2 linked regions of the Lytechinus pictus genome follow. The protein of the gene in region 1 purifies or fractionates together with the protein of each later gene. This does not show direct contact. Links are inferred from orthologs where the notes say so. Each region holds a gene or a part of one and is shown in the gene's direction. Other genes may lie near its edges.

Evidence for each region. The genes of interacting proteins can lie anywhere in the genome.
Region 2: the proteins of NHP2-like protein 1 (region 1) and nucleolar protein 56-like fractionate together in Homo sapiens (co-fractionation; 3 studies listed by BioGRID, with this or other methods). This does not show direct contact. The link is inferred for Lytechinus pictus from reciprocal best matches to the Homo sapiens genes SNU13 and NOP56.

The regions. Positions count from the first base shown.
Region 1 is NC_087254.1:23,672,557-23,679,761, forward strand, and holds the start of NHP2-like protein 1, read left to right. Parts: upstream 1-4,174; 5' UTR 4,175-4,514; coding exon 4,515-4,517; intron 4,518-7,205.
Region 2 is NC_087256.1:9,011,068-9,018,612, reverse strand, and holds the start of nucleolar protein 56-like, read left to right. Parts: upstream 1-4,481; 5' UTR 4,482-4,483; coding exon 4,484-4,679; intron 4,680-5,321; coding exon 5,322-5,492; intron 5,493-5,895; coding exon 5,896-6,094; intron 6,095-7,545. UniProt on the Homo sapiens protein: Involved in the early to middle stages of 60S ribosomal subunit biogenesis. Required for the biogenesis of box C/D snoRNAs such U3, U8 and U14 snoRNAs. Part of the small subunit (SSU) processome, first precursor of the small eukaryotic ribosomal subunit.

The DNA.
Region 1 (7,205 bases):
TTAGAGTAAACTTATACTTTGAATTGTTTTCATTTCCATATGTTTTATACATAGACTACAGTGTATACTCCCAGAACTTCCCCATAATTTATGATACAATATATACTCACTCTTTCTCATTAAGGTTTATACAGCTCTTCAGCATCATCTATAAAGAATGAAATATTGTATAATTCAAACAATAAAAAACAAAAGAAATAGTGAGTGAGGGACATCATCGACTGTCTCATTTGAGTTGTACATATCACTAGTGTTTTGTGAAAAATAAGCAAACTTTAAAATGTCATAGGCTTATTTTACATCCGATTTTGATGGAATTTTCAGCGTTTTGCTAGTTTGATTTTTCTCTAGTTATTAAAATAATCAATATTTTTCTGGGGTGGACTTGACCTACCGGGTGTGTTTCTCAACGGGGTTATTCCCCCCGTATTCCATGATTTAACTGATCGACCCAGACCCCCGGGTTTTGGGACTGAAGCCCCCCCCCCCCCAAAAAAAAAAAAAATCGACCACAAAGAAAACAAATATATATATATTTATATATATATATATATATATATATATATATATATATATATATATATATATATATATAGGTCCTATAAGCGAAGGCCTATATAATTATTTCATTCATGTCGTCAAGTGCTCTAAAATAAAAGTTTTTAATATTCAAATTCAAAAATTTTCTCGCTCGGTCGCTAAACGCTCCCTCGCAAAATATCATCTAAATGAAGAACACATTAATGAAATCAATAATCTCCTGCAATAGCTAAGCTATATAGTAGACTGCCTTGCAACTTAACCTCCATAATGTATTCACCCACCACGAAATGCCATAAAATTGAATAAAACCTGTCGTGTTTTGGACTTTGGTCATCAAAAGCGCTCCGCCTTAGAGCATCTAATCAAGATGGAAAGTGTGCTATACAAATCTAATGTATTATTATTATTATTAGATGTAAATGATTTGACTGGTCTTCAATAGGCCACATAGGATATGTGTATTCTTTTGTGTTATACTGGGATGTTGTGCAGGGTATATCATTTGGCCGTTTTGTTGAATAAGTATCCCATTCAGTATTATTTGCTGCAGGTGTATATAGGCTTAATTACATTATTATTTGTAAAGATCATAAGTGCTTCAAATTCTAGGTTTGGCTTCAAACATTTTCTCCCTGGTCACCACATCCCCTCGTATTTTTAAGGGGTGTCATATTAAAACCCCATCTCCTGCCATGTTCTATACCTTTTTACGTTCAAAGTTTAAAAAACGCCTCAGGACTGGGTAACAATTAACACAAACCAATTTCCTGCCTATCCAGTCCTACCCCCGCCCCCCTTTCTATCGTTAAATGTCCTCATCTACATCTGTAACACCGATCAGGCCCTAATGCATAATAAATGAGATGAAAAATTCTCAAGCATTTTGATTTTTTTTTCTCGGTCGCTATGCTGCCTCGCACAATATTAGAAAATTTCATAGGAGGGTGACTAGCTAATTGGTGTGTATAAGGCTATCCACAATAGGCCATTTTTATTGTATTGAAAAAAACCAACGTCAAAAATATTTCAAGCCCCCAGAAGACCCCCCCCCCGTAAAAAAAGTTAAGTCTATATAGAACCGCGCCTGCGTGTATAGCTTATTCCTCCATTCTTTCTTGTTTTCTCTCCATCTTTATCCTCTTTTCTCCTAGTTCCTCCCACCCCCCTCCTTAAAAAAACCACAAAACATAAGAAGGGGCACGCCTCACATTTTTAGGTTTTATAAGCTAGCTTGCACATAATGCGATTTCAGCTTAATTAGGCCTACAAGGTCATGAAAGTCAGAGGCCTGTTGCGAAAAAGAAAATCTCTGGCAATTGTAACAGCTATTATAGGCCCACGCAGCCCACCCCCCCCCCCCCCCAGCCCTGAACCTTAAAGGGGAATCCAACCCAAATAAAAACTTGTTTTTATAAGGAAAGGAAAATTCAGACAAGTTGATAGGTGAAAGTTTGAACAATATTGGACAAACAACAAGAAAGTTATGAATTTTTAAAAGTTGTAAATATTGGTAATCACTATATTCATGGAGACTTCAAATTGGCCGCATATGGGATGTCATAGTGATGTAAGGCAAGGACTACTCTTCCATGTACTCCAATACATATTATGCCTAAAATGTCATTTTTTCAAAAAGTTTTATTTCAAATTATATTTTTCTTTCATGAGGACATTAAACAATATATTACCTGGGTTATATTTAGATAACTGCCCCAGGGGAATGGGTACTTAGGAGAAAACCACAAATCCCTGATAATAAAGTACATGGCCTATGGGAAAGTTGTCCTTGCCCATTGTCATAATTTCCTTACCCAGTTGCCAATTTGAAATCTACATACTATTAGTGATCTCAATTTTAAAGCAGCTATAACTTTCTTATTGCTTGTCCGATTTCTTTCAAACTTTCACCATTCTGTTTAATTCATTTTTTCTCCTTCCCAACACAACATTTTATGGCCAAGGCTGGATTCCCCTTTAAATATATCCGCATGATTTTGTTCGGCCTTCTTGAATGTGAACAAATTTTTTTGATATGTAATGATATTCGTTTGAATAGAAAGTTTTATGAACATGGTGAAGTATAAGTTGTTGCGACCTCAGGTCTATGCGAAGAAGGTCAGCTTTTTCGACTTCATTCTTCCCAACATGTGTTCTTGGGTGTAAGCAAGTAATAAATCTAACAATCTTATTTTGAATAATTATACACTTTTTTTGATCAACCTTTCCAAGACTGCAGTACCATGCTGCATTAGCATAATCAAATAAACACTGTATTAATGAAAAGCTTAAAATGCGTCTGGATTTCGTATTCATGCAGTTTTGGTACCGGTATATAGAAATTTCAAGCGAGCATTAGCTTTTTTTACAATAGATGTACATGAGAGATCACTATTCAATATCAGGCCTAAATACTTCACGGAATTCTGTCTCTTAATTAATTGATTGTTATAGTATATATTGAAATAATCTGTATGCTTAGACTTACCCCGCGAACAAAACAAAATACTTTCAGTCTTACCAACATGTAAGCTAAGCTTATTATCTGTCATCCATTTAACACAATTTGATAATTCTAAGCTAAGTTTTTCACCGATCAGCTTAGGACTTGTATCAGAATAGAGTAAAACACTGTCGTCTGCATATAAAAGTAATTTACTTTCATTAACACAATTACACATATCATTGATATAGCACATAAAAAGAATGGGACCTAATATGCTCCCCTGTGGAACTCCGCAGTTTATAGGCATAGAATATGAAAGTACATTTTGCATGGATACCACTTGACGGCGATTGGTCAAGTAAGACCTAAACCAATTCAAGCATGCTGAATTCAAACCCATCACTTCTAATTTCTTTAAGAGTATTTCATGATTAACTGTATCGAATGCTTTTTTTAAGTCAAGAAGAACCATCCCAACATAACGGCCTTCGGAAATTTCATTCCTAACAAAATCCAACAAGTGAATTAAACATGTTTCAGTAGAATAACCATTCCTAAAACCAGACTGAAATTCATAAATGATTTTGTATTCTTTAAAGTATTTCTCAATTTGAGAATACACGCATTTCTCCAAAATTTTCGACACTATATGCTTAACACACTAATAGGTCTATAATTCCCAACATGAGTTTTGTCTTTCTTTTTGTGTAGTGGTGTGACTTTAGCGATTTTCATTTCATCAGGGAAGGTACAAGTTGAAATATATAGGTTAATAGTGTTAGTTAAAGGTATAAAGACATTTTTTGCACCATCCTTTAAAAATCTAGCAGGAACCAAGTCAAGTCCGATACTTTTTGATATTTTCAACTTGGATAATTCATCTAATACAAACTTTTCTGTGGCAGGAGAAAAATTAAAACAGCCTCTTTGTATACCTTTTATATAGTTTTTTTTTAATTAGGACTGTCGGCCCCAAACTCATTTCTGTCCGTAATGGGGAGCTCACAAGATAATTTATCGGCCACTGTTGTGAAATAATTGTTAAATTCGTTGGCTATCTTTAGATTATCATGACATAATTCTCCTTCAATATTAATAACACTTTTCTGAATATTTTTTTGTTTGTTTTTTAAACCTAACTCTTAACAGACCATGATTGATCAGCAAGTGCGTCTCCACGTAAAGACTAGCACAAACAAAACTTGCTGTTTCAATTCTGAGCGAGAGGGCCTTCAGTACACAAGACATGGATAGGCTGCACATTCAGACCCTATAACTCGAGTGAAGGGTTTGCCCAGCAGCTCACTTGTCTCGGACTTCGTTTTTAGCATACGAGCGCGGCGCATAACATCGCATGCATATATATGTATACGTATATATATATACGTATCCGATCGATCCGATATCCCCATTATTTGCTTTCCATAAGTATACGCACGTGGAGCTCGTTAGGCCTCAGTGAAGCGCAACGCCGAGAGGACCGAAATTCATCTTTTTCTATCCTAACCAATCCAAGAAACTCTCTAATATGGTATGTTACATACTTATTTCGAATTCGTGGTACATTTCACGCATGTTTGATTAATTATTTTAGCATTATTTGTTGAAAATGTGCATCCTGCACAACCAATTTATAATACGGCAATACGATAAACTCGGCTCAGCGATTTATCTCGTGTGCAATTCTAATACTGAATCACGAAAACGTGATAAGATACATGGGATGTTCGTGGGCGAGAATCGCATACGCAGATGATGGGAATGGACTAATGGCTAGGGCCTGTTTCATGACGAACCAAGTCGAACCATGTACCTGTAACTTAAAGGAAAATGAAACCTCTGAACAAAGATAGCTTGTGTGAAAATAGAAAAATCAAAGAAACAGATCAACAAAAGTTTGAGAACAAAAATGAGACAAATAATGAGAAAGTTATATGAATTATGAGCATTTCAGAATATTGTGATCACTAATGCTATGCCTATGACGAGATCCTCACATTGGCAATGCGACAAAGATGTGTGATGTCACTTGTGAACAACTCTCCCCATTACTTTAGTATATATTTCACTAACACTGCCTCTTTTATCACATCTATAAGTAGATCGTGTGTTCTTCTATAAGAGAGCATGTACCGGTAATACAGATTTTTAAAGAATACATCATGGATAAAGAGTTTGTATCACCATAAGAAAAAGCGAAAAGAGACACTTGTTCCAAAGGTTTCATTCCCCTTTAAGTTGTAACGACGCCGAAAGGTTGACAGTTGATGAGGCCTGTAATGTAGGTTTTATCTTGGAAGTATTTGGTCTTGCTTTTGAATTTGATTTGTCTACTGTTGATTGTCTTGAAAATGAAATTGTATTTTGTTTTGATTTTGTACAAAGTACAGTATTTTTCATGTTGAGTTTTCGATTTTTTTGTGTGATTGTGATCTGATGCAGCTGCAGACCTGTCCGTACATTTGTATTTCTGATGAAAAAAAATGTTTATTTTTCTGTTTTTTTTCCCATGATTGATCCGATGTGAACACTAAATAAAAAATTCTGTCCATTACTAGACTTAGTCTACATGGTCTAGCTAGTAGTAGTAGGACCACTCGCTCTGATACTCCGAGTGACAAAGGTGAGATTTTAGGGGGAGAATAAACTCATGCAACAACTTGACCTTTAAAAACTGATATTACCTAGGGATACCTTGGGAAGTTTCTGAATGTAGGCATGTTATGCCTCTATTGAGTTCTAGGTTTTTCCTCAAGATGGCTGGCTCACTTCCGAGAACAGGGCTTTCGTACTTCGTAGCCATATTTTATTTGGCTCATTTTTCCAGCATCTAATGTATCCAGGGCAGCTTCAAAACTGTGCACACTTGGGGCAGTGACAACTTCATTATTTAGGCTATTCCATGTCTTACGTATTCTAACATAAAAAGACTTCCTATATTTCTGGGTCTTTGTCCTTGTTATGAACAATTTTTTACTGTGACCTCTGGTATGTTCACGATATTTTTCTTCGAGATTAAGTTTTGTACATTGATCATAATTATTAAAGTGTTTATATGTTTCAATCATATCACCCCTAACTCTTTGATACGCCAGAGTTGGGATTTTTAATCGTTTAAGTCGTTGTGGATAGGAAAGCTTCCTTAATTCAGGGACTAATTTTGTTGCCCTTCTTTGTACGTTCTCTAATGCATGTATATGTTTTTTCAGTACGGGGTTCCACACAGCATGGGCATACTCAACTTGTGGTCGGACAAGCGACTTATACAACAATGCAAAGTTATTTTTGTCTAGATATACAAAAGTTCGTCTGATCAAGCCCATAAGCCTGTTGGCCTTGTTTATCTTCGATTGCATGTGCTCTTCAAAGCTGAGTTTATCATCAATCACAACACCCAAGTCCCTTTCGGAGGTGACATGTTCAAGCGCATCATTCATTAAAGTGTATGCAAAAGCTTCCTGCCGGTCCTGCGTGATACCAATAGAGAGTACACTACATTTCTTGGGGTTGAATTTCAGCAGCCATTTTTCTGACCCGCATTTCAAATGGTCAAGATCTCTCTGGAGTGAATTGCAATCATTCTGATCTCTTATATACTTGAACAGCTTGGTATCATCTGCAAAAAGATAAACATTACTTCCAGTAACAACATCTGGGAGATCATTGATATATAACAAAAACAGCACGGGCCAAGAACACTCCCTTGCGAAATTCCGCTATCTACATGTCCCCAACTTGAGAACTCGCCATTCACACACACTCTCTGTCTCCTTCCAACAAGGAATGCCTCGAATAACCACCTGTTCATTTATACCAAACCTTTTCAAGCAGTCGACGGTGAGGTACCTTGTCAAAGGCTTTCATAAAATCTAAACAAATTACATCAATTTTCTTACTTTTCACAAAGTTTCACTTCTTTTCCACGCTTCTATCAGCAGCTCAATTCATGAATATTCATGAGTAGGACTAAACATCGAGATCATTTTGCATTTGCATCAGATATGGATGTATAGTCCTCATGAATATTCATGAATTGAGCTGCAAATTCCGCGCAATTTGCCTTTGCGATGTTTTGGAATCGGCAGTAAACTAATACGTTCAGGAAATTAAAGAAGCATGGAAAAGAAGTGAAACTTTGTGAAAGGTAAGAATATTAGTTTTTATTGTTTTTAAAGATCGTGTTGTTGCATGAGTTTTATATTTACCCCCATAAAATCCC
Region 2 (7,545 bases), on another chromosome or scaffold:
CAACGATATTCAAATTATACTAGCAACTCATTGTGGGCGTGAAAAAACGATATACATATCCGATATCCTCTAAAACGTTCGCACATATCAACTTCAATAATTCGTACTTGAAACGAATATCTGTGAATGAATTGCCAATTCCACTTTGTTGAATGTGTACTTCTATCAAAATCTATTGAATCACGTACCTCTACCGACCCAAGGTGGATTTTCCAATCGCCATAAAGATTATGCAGCCACAATCACAGTAGACACATCCATAAATGAATATTAATTTCATTCGCTACGAACTTAATCCCCTCCCCCACAAAGTCACAAACATCCCATCATTTTCATCTACATTGCCCACGGCCACCCCCCATTCTCTTTTTTTCCTTTACACAAATTAATTTCAAATGATATTTTGTTTTAAATCCTAGTTAAGCAATTGTACAACAAATTCATAAAGCATTCACTGTGATGACTAAAAACATTTCTCAGGCCCGCGACAGGTGCGCTCATTATTTAATTGGCAGGCAAAGAGTAATAAAGAACAATACAAATGAAAATACACTGTACGTATAACTCACATTAAAAAAATGAGTCGTAATGATAAAAAATGTGAATAATATTAATAAAGATTATTAATTATGAAAATTATAACAGATTCAATGAATATATGAAAAAAATCAAATTAAATTAGTTTTGGATCCCATCTAATTTTGGAAGACTATCGGATCCCCGGATCAAGGATTTTGATGCCATGTGCGATTTGTATTATGAATGTGACCGTTGCGAGCGCGAGTGCAGTGGCACAGAACTTGGTAGACACGCCGTCGCGAAATGAATCAACAGTTTCAAAAGATCGACGTAGAGATCAAGACTTTGGAAATAATGGAGTAAAATCAGAATTTAAATGTGAATAAATCATTTTGATGTAAGTAAATGAGTTGGACATTATATCAATCCATTCCATTGGCTTTGTTATTATTAACGTGATCTTTGAATAGTTTTTCTCAATTCGCTCTACGGCAGTGTCATCAGAAATGCATTAAATGAATTCATGTAGATGTAGCTATAAAGGCTGGGGCCTGGGACGAGATGAAACTATATTTCGATCGAATTTTGATAGTAATTTTGACACACTTTATATTTGACATAATAAGTGACAATATCAACTGAAATTCGTAATAATCTAAATTACATTGCCCAAGCCAGTAACCCACGATACCCCTCTCCCCTCACTTGTTTTTGAGAGTATTTACTACCATTTTAAAGACGTAAATAATGTGAGCAATGCGATACGCAAATGCGAGGTAAACATCTTCGCACTTCCCACAAAAGAGATTGGGCCTCGAGTCGAGGTCGTATCGTATATAGCGCACTAGTAGTAGTGAGTGAGAAATCCCGGGAAGGAATCGTGGACGAAATAATCGACAAGTTTACTTTAGGATCTGAAAAGCAGATTATTTTTTTATATATTATTCAGTTTTTGTGTAGATCTAGGCCTGCTTTACAGTTGTCGGCCACGGTTGTCGGGGAAGTTCAGGGTTGGCGGATTTGCCCTGAAAATTTTCAGGCTTGGCGGCGCCCGCCAATCGTGACGCGTGGTAGTGTAAAGATTGTTTGAAGGAAGAGAATTTAAAATTCCACCAATTTACTGTGAAGAATTTTTCTCTCAGAAAACAAAGTCAGTTTTTTTGGTTACTCACGTTACATCACCTGAGCAGGTTGCAATATTTATTTTTGAACAAGTACTACAAATTTAATTGAAAATATGTTGTGTATTTTAAGTAATTTGACTCTTCTATCAGAAATATATAAAGTGGTATGATGTTGCAATAACAAAATGGTAATAAGGCATATTTAATTTTTCACTATATTTCTTGTATTTTTGTACAGAGTGGAAGACACAACTTTTGACCATTTTTTTCCAAAGTATACATATGAAAATAATCTTTTTAATTTTTGTTCCTGAAACCATCATGTATGAAGGACTTAAAGTATTTAAAAATTCAAGAAAATATTGAATTTGAGAATTTGAATTTTTAAGCTCATGTCCACCAACCTATGGAATTGCCCCAATGAGTTTTGATACAATTCTGTTGCGTGCCCTCGCAAATCAAGATATTTCTGGTTATTTTCCTAAGTGGGCAAGACACAAAATCGCTTTTGCCTTGTTTGTATTTGTGGCAGTTTTATTTTTTTTGCTCAAAATAGAAAGATTTTATCAATTTTATATCATCAAAACATGAATAAATCCTTCATAAGTGGTTACCACTTTGCCCCCTACTCCATTTTCACCACATGATTTTGTTTTAATCATTGATTTAAATCACTTCCATTGAAATATGTACATGTGCAATGTACAACTCCAGGTTTATTGTACTAAATAAACTTGCAACTTTTTCCCAATAAGTCATAGCTTTGCAAATCAATGCTTTAAACAATCAAAAAGCTCCAAACATGGCTCAAATGCCAAAGGAGGTTTAAACAAACAAAGAGAAATGGAGTTTTCTCTATTAAACACATGATTTTCAGTCCTTGGCTTGAAAATCAAGAATGTTTCTCTTTCAAGAATGTGAGTCTCTGAGTCATGGAATTCTTCCAAAGAAACTGATCCTCATTTCATGTTTGAATAGGAACACTAACTTTGCAGTATTAGCTGTACCAAGGCAGTTCCTCAACTTGGACCAAACCAGTCAGTAGGAGCTCCCAACACGAGAGGATGCAGAAACAGCATCTTCGTCATGACTTACAATATGTTCTATATAAATTCTATTTTGACTGTCTTTAATTATGAAATAGAATAGAAGTTAATAATAATTTTAGTTGTGAAATGTATGATTTTGAAATGTATGATTTTGAGTTAAGTGTAAGGGTTTTATTTTTAGTCTTTCCACTTTGTTTTAGAAAATATTGTTTTAAAAAAAAAAAAAATTAAATCCAATTTTTTTTTATTAAAAAAAAAAAAAAAAAAAAAAAATTGTCAACCCTAAAAGAGAGAATAGAGAGAAAGACAAAAACGAAATAGATCTACGGAAAAAAGGAAGTAAGAAAAATGAAAGAAAGAAAAGTAAGGAAGAAGGAAAGAGAAATGAAGGAAATAATTTCTTAAAAGTTCAAATGGAAAGAAAGAAGGGAAAAAATAAAAAGTAAAGAATGAAAAGAAAAGAAGCTAGGGATGGAAATAAAAAAAATAAAAACAGGAAGGAATGAAAGACAAAAAAAAAAGGTACCGTGTAAGAATATGATTTGACAACTCATAATACCAGTGCAGTACCAGGTACAAGTACCGGTATCATCACATCACAACAGCGATTTTCACAAAGTGACTGGTGCACCACTAAATGTGCGTGTTGACTGCGGATCTCTACATGTAGCCTGGCTTTTGGCCTGGCCAATACGCTGCACCGTGATGATATTCAAAAGCTCTCACATAATTCCATTGCAATTTTGCTTTGCAATTGTAGATTTTGATACAACCTTCGTAGATACTTTTCAAACACCTAACCTTGGTTAGTCGTTTTAGGTATATGAATTCTTTGATTTGTGAATATGAAATCGTAATGTTTTTGTGAATTTTGGAAGTTGCAAGTGTGATTAACGTTGGCAGTAGAGGGCATGCGCATCACCCGTAATGAGAGTAAAGCGAAAGTTCCTCGTGTCATAAAAGTGCTACGTCTTGTCTGCGTGCTCCCAAATCCGTAGGGAGGCAGTACTCAATATGATCCGCAAATTTTGCCCATGTTTTTAGAAAGCAGACAGCACACACTTGCAAGTATGGCTGGTTGAGACCAAGCTTTTAAGCAAAATAGAGCCGTAAATACAATGTGGGTAAAATGGATAATACATAAAACTAAATTGGCTGGATTTCACCTCGTACAGAAAATTGAGGTAAAGAATTACATTTTCATATATATGAGAATGTGATCTCTTGTTAAAATTTGAAACAAAATTCTTTTTAAAGATGTTGGTCAAACTTCATTAATCTACATGTAGGCCTATTATTTATATTGGGTAATGTTTCTTTTGCATCAATACCTCTGGTTCTCTTCTTGTATTGTTATTTTACATGTACCATCTTGGCATGTTGTTTCACTTTTTCTTATTGATTTTTACACACACTAGCTGTTTGTTTTACTTTTTAATATGTAAATGTAAATTTTGAAAATTGTTTTATTCAATAAAATGCCTACATGTAGCTGTGAAGGGGGGGGGGCGTACTCGAGAAACAAACTAGTGTCTGTTTACTGAAAGCAGTGTAACAGTTTTAAATGAAATAACTAGATAACTCTGGCCTCAACATGCATGTAATCATGTGGTAAACACCATATTACTCCCACCATTCACATGTAAATTGAAATATACTAGAAACTTGTGAGCTATCCATTCCTTTATTTCAGAGTTCTCAAACTATGTTTAAGTACATGTTCGTCAAACCCATTTACAGATCCATTTTATCCTGTTCCATTTTCTGTTCTCTTTTTTCACCCAGGCTATGATGATTTTATTTGAACATGCATCAGGCTACGGCTTGTTTGCAGTCAAGGAGTTTGAGGAGGTCTCTGTCCTTCATCACCAAGTCCAGGAATCTGTGACAGACTTTGGCAAGTTTGCCTCTCTGATCAAGCTTCAGGCCTTCTCGCCTTTCAAATCAGGGGTCAACGCACTTGACAATATCAACAGCATCTCAGAAGGTAAATTTTGCCAATAATTTTTTTTTTTTTTTAATAAAAATAAAAATGAAAATGTTGATACTGATTTTGTTTAATAGCATTTCCTATACTTGATGTTTTGATAATACACAATGTAGCTCTTGCTCAAGGACATAAAAGCTGTGTTGTGGTTGAACCCCAACTTCCATTACTTGATCATGATGGCACAGACTCTAGGAAGTTCGTTCAACAGAGAAAGAAGCAATGAATAAAAAATTTAGAGCCTGTAGTGAAGTATATTTTGCAAATCATCAGGTGGTAGTATTTTGGTTGAGTTTTGTTGAAGACATGTGCATGGTCTGTGGCAGGAAATTACTGGAAATTTTACAACAGATCGATTCCTATTTACTTACAACAATGTGAATGATATTCGCCCTTCGATTCAGGCCTCTCAATCATTCTGAATTTGGAGGAAAGAATGTGATCTTTTTTTGCCATTTTGAGCCCCTGTTTGAGACAATTTTCCTACGTTTCTTGATAACTTTACTACACGATCCTATGAAAACTACTGTTTCCTGATTTTTTTAGCAAGATCATTCCTATTTTTCTTTAAATTGGTCAAGAGGTATGTTGATACCCTAGAAAATATAACCTCTTTTTTTGTGTTCTTTTATTGTGTCTCAGGTGTGATGACAGAAGACCTGAAACTCTTCCTGGAGACCAACATGCCAGAGAGCTCTAAGAAGAGGAAGAAGATCACATTGGGTGTGGCCGATGGGAAGATAGGTGCTTCTATCCAGGAGGAACTAGGTATCCCCTGTCAGACGGGAGGAGTCTTCCAGGAGATCGCAAGAGGTAAAAACTTTCTAATAGGGGACTGTCTTCAAAGGATGTCAAATGCACAGTGGAGGCATGTGATAGATCATAGATTAATCTTGAGCCTTGGCATTAGAATAAAAACAAATTGAAATGGTATTTTATGTTTTGATAAATTTTGACTTGATCTATCAGGCAGTGAGATCAATTAGAGATATCAGTAAGTATTTGTTCTTTGACAGCATGTTTGTGGTAAGGATGTTCTCAAGGAGAGAAACACAAAAAAATACTACATATTCAAATCGCCAAAATAAATTCTGGGAGCTATGAATAATTCAGACCTGTTGATGTTATTGACTGTGGCTCTTCGCCAGTAAATTATGTAAATTGAAAAGAGCATTAATTATCAAAATAGTAACCACATTCCTTTTTTTTTTACAAGGTCTGAGGTACCATTTCTACAGACTGGTCAAGGGACTGACCGCTCAGACAGAGGCTAAAGCACAACTTGGTCTAGGTCACAGCTACTCAAGGGCAAAGGTCAAGTTCAATGTGAACAGAGCAGATAACATGATCATCCAATCCATCTGTTTGCTTGATCAACTGGATAAGGATATCAATACATTTTCAATGAGAATCAAGTGAGTATTGTGTTGGGCTGTACATTGTGACAATATGTTAAAATATCACACTTAAATGAGTAGACAATACTGGGTAGACTACATAAAGGTAAACTTGCGTAAAGTCAATCTTCCATATGGCGAATATATGCATTAAAGTGATTGGTTAACATTGTTTTGACTTTTAAAAAATCTGAGCTAGAAGGTCACACTTGTCACCTGTGTCTGTGATATGTTACAAAAATGAAGCCCAGAAAAAATTGCGTTCGAAAATAATTATTTAGTGCTTCAAAAATTGAAATATAAAGTGACCAGAAACACCATCTTAATTTCATCCCATACACTTATGTGTACTATTTAGGCGTCTATTAGACACCCATTTACAAAATCGGGGTTTGCCTTGTAGTTTTAGCTTTTCATTCTCAATAACGGCTGTTTTCAGGGTTTATTAGTTCTAATACATGCACTTGTACACATGTTTCATCTTGGTTTGAGAATTTTTTAAATAGGCTGCTCACAAAGTTAAACAATACCTTTAAGCCGAAGCAGTTTCTTTGACAGATTTCGCAAAACACATGTCTTAGGAGCCACTTTTGTACTTATTCAAACATATGTCTGGGGCCCCCAATAGATTAAGTTGTTATAATAAATAATTGGAGTCTATCATTATGTTTCAGACATAAAAACCTGAGCTTAAATTGCTATAATAATAATAATAATAATAGGCATTTATATAGCGCCATCTATCTAGAAATATTCTATTCCGAGGCGCGTTGTTATTATTATTATTACCCCGGCTTTAGCTCGAGCTGCCTTTCAGCGCTTATGCATTCAAGGAATTAATCCTGCCGGGTACCCATTCACTTCACCTGGCTCGAGTGCAGCACAATGTGGATGATTTTCTTGCTGAAGGAAATTACGCCATGGCTGGGATTCGAACCCACGACCCTCTGTTTCAAAGTCAGAAGACTTATCCACTGGGCAACAACGCTCCACATGATAGTTAATCATAAATCATGGTCATCCATAGTACATTGCACTAGGGTCCATGGGATAGGGTCATCAAATTGTCCCTCTTAACTTATATTTTACATTTCCCTGGTAATATACATTATTGTCTGTTTGCCACCTAGTAATGTAAGTATGGTTTGCTGACCCTGTTTAACATTCATAGGGGATGATTATCATCTTGTCATTACTATATTATAGAATACACAATTTTTTTAAATCATCATGCCACCCTGTGCTTTATGATATATCCTTTAGTAAGATATTAATTTGCATTTGCCACCCTTTACCCATGTGTAATAAGGAGCTGGTGTATTGAATTTATCAAATGGTTAATGCTGAAATAAGTTGTCTAACTCTACATGTAGCTTCAGGTGTGATTGGTAGATCGCCCCCAAGTTGTTTGGATATGTACAATAAGTCTATACAAAATATATTGCTTTGTGATTTAAATATTTACCTTG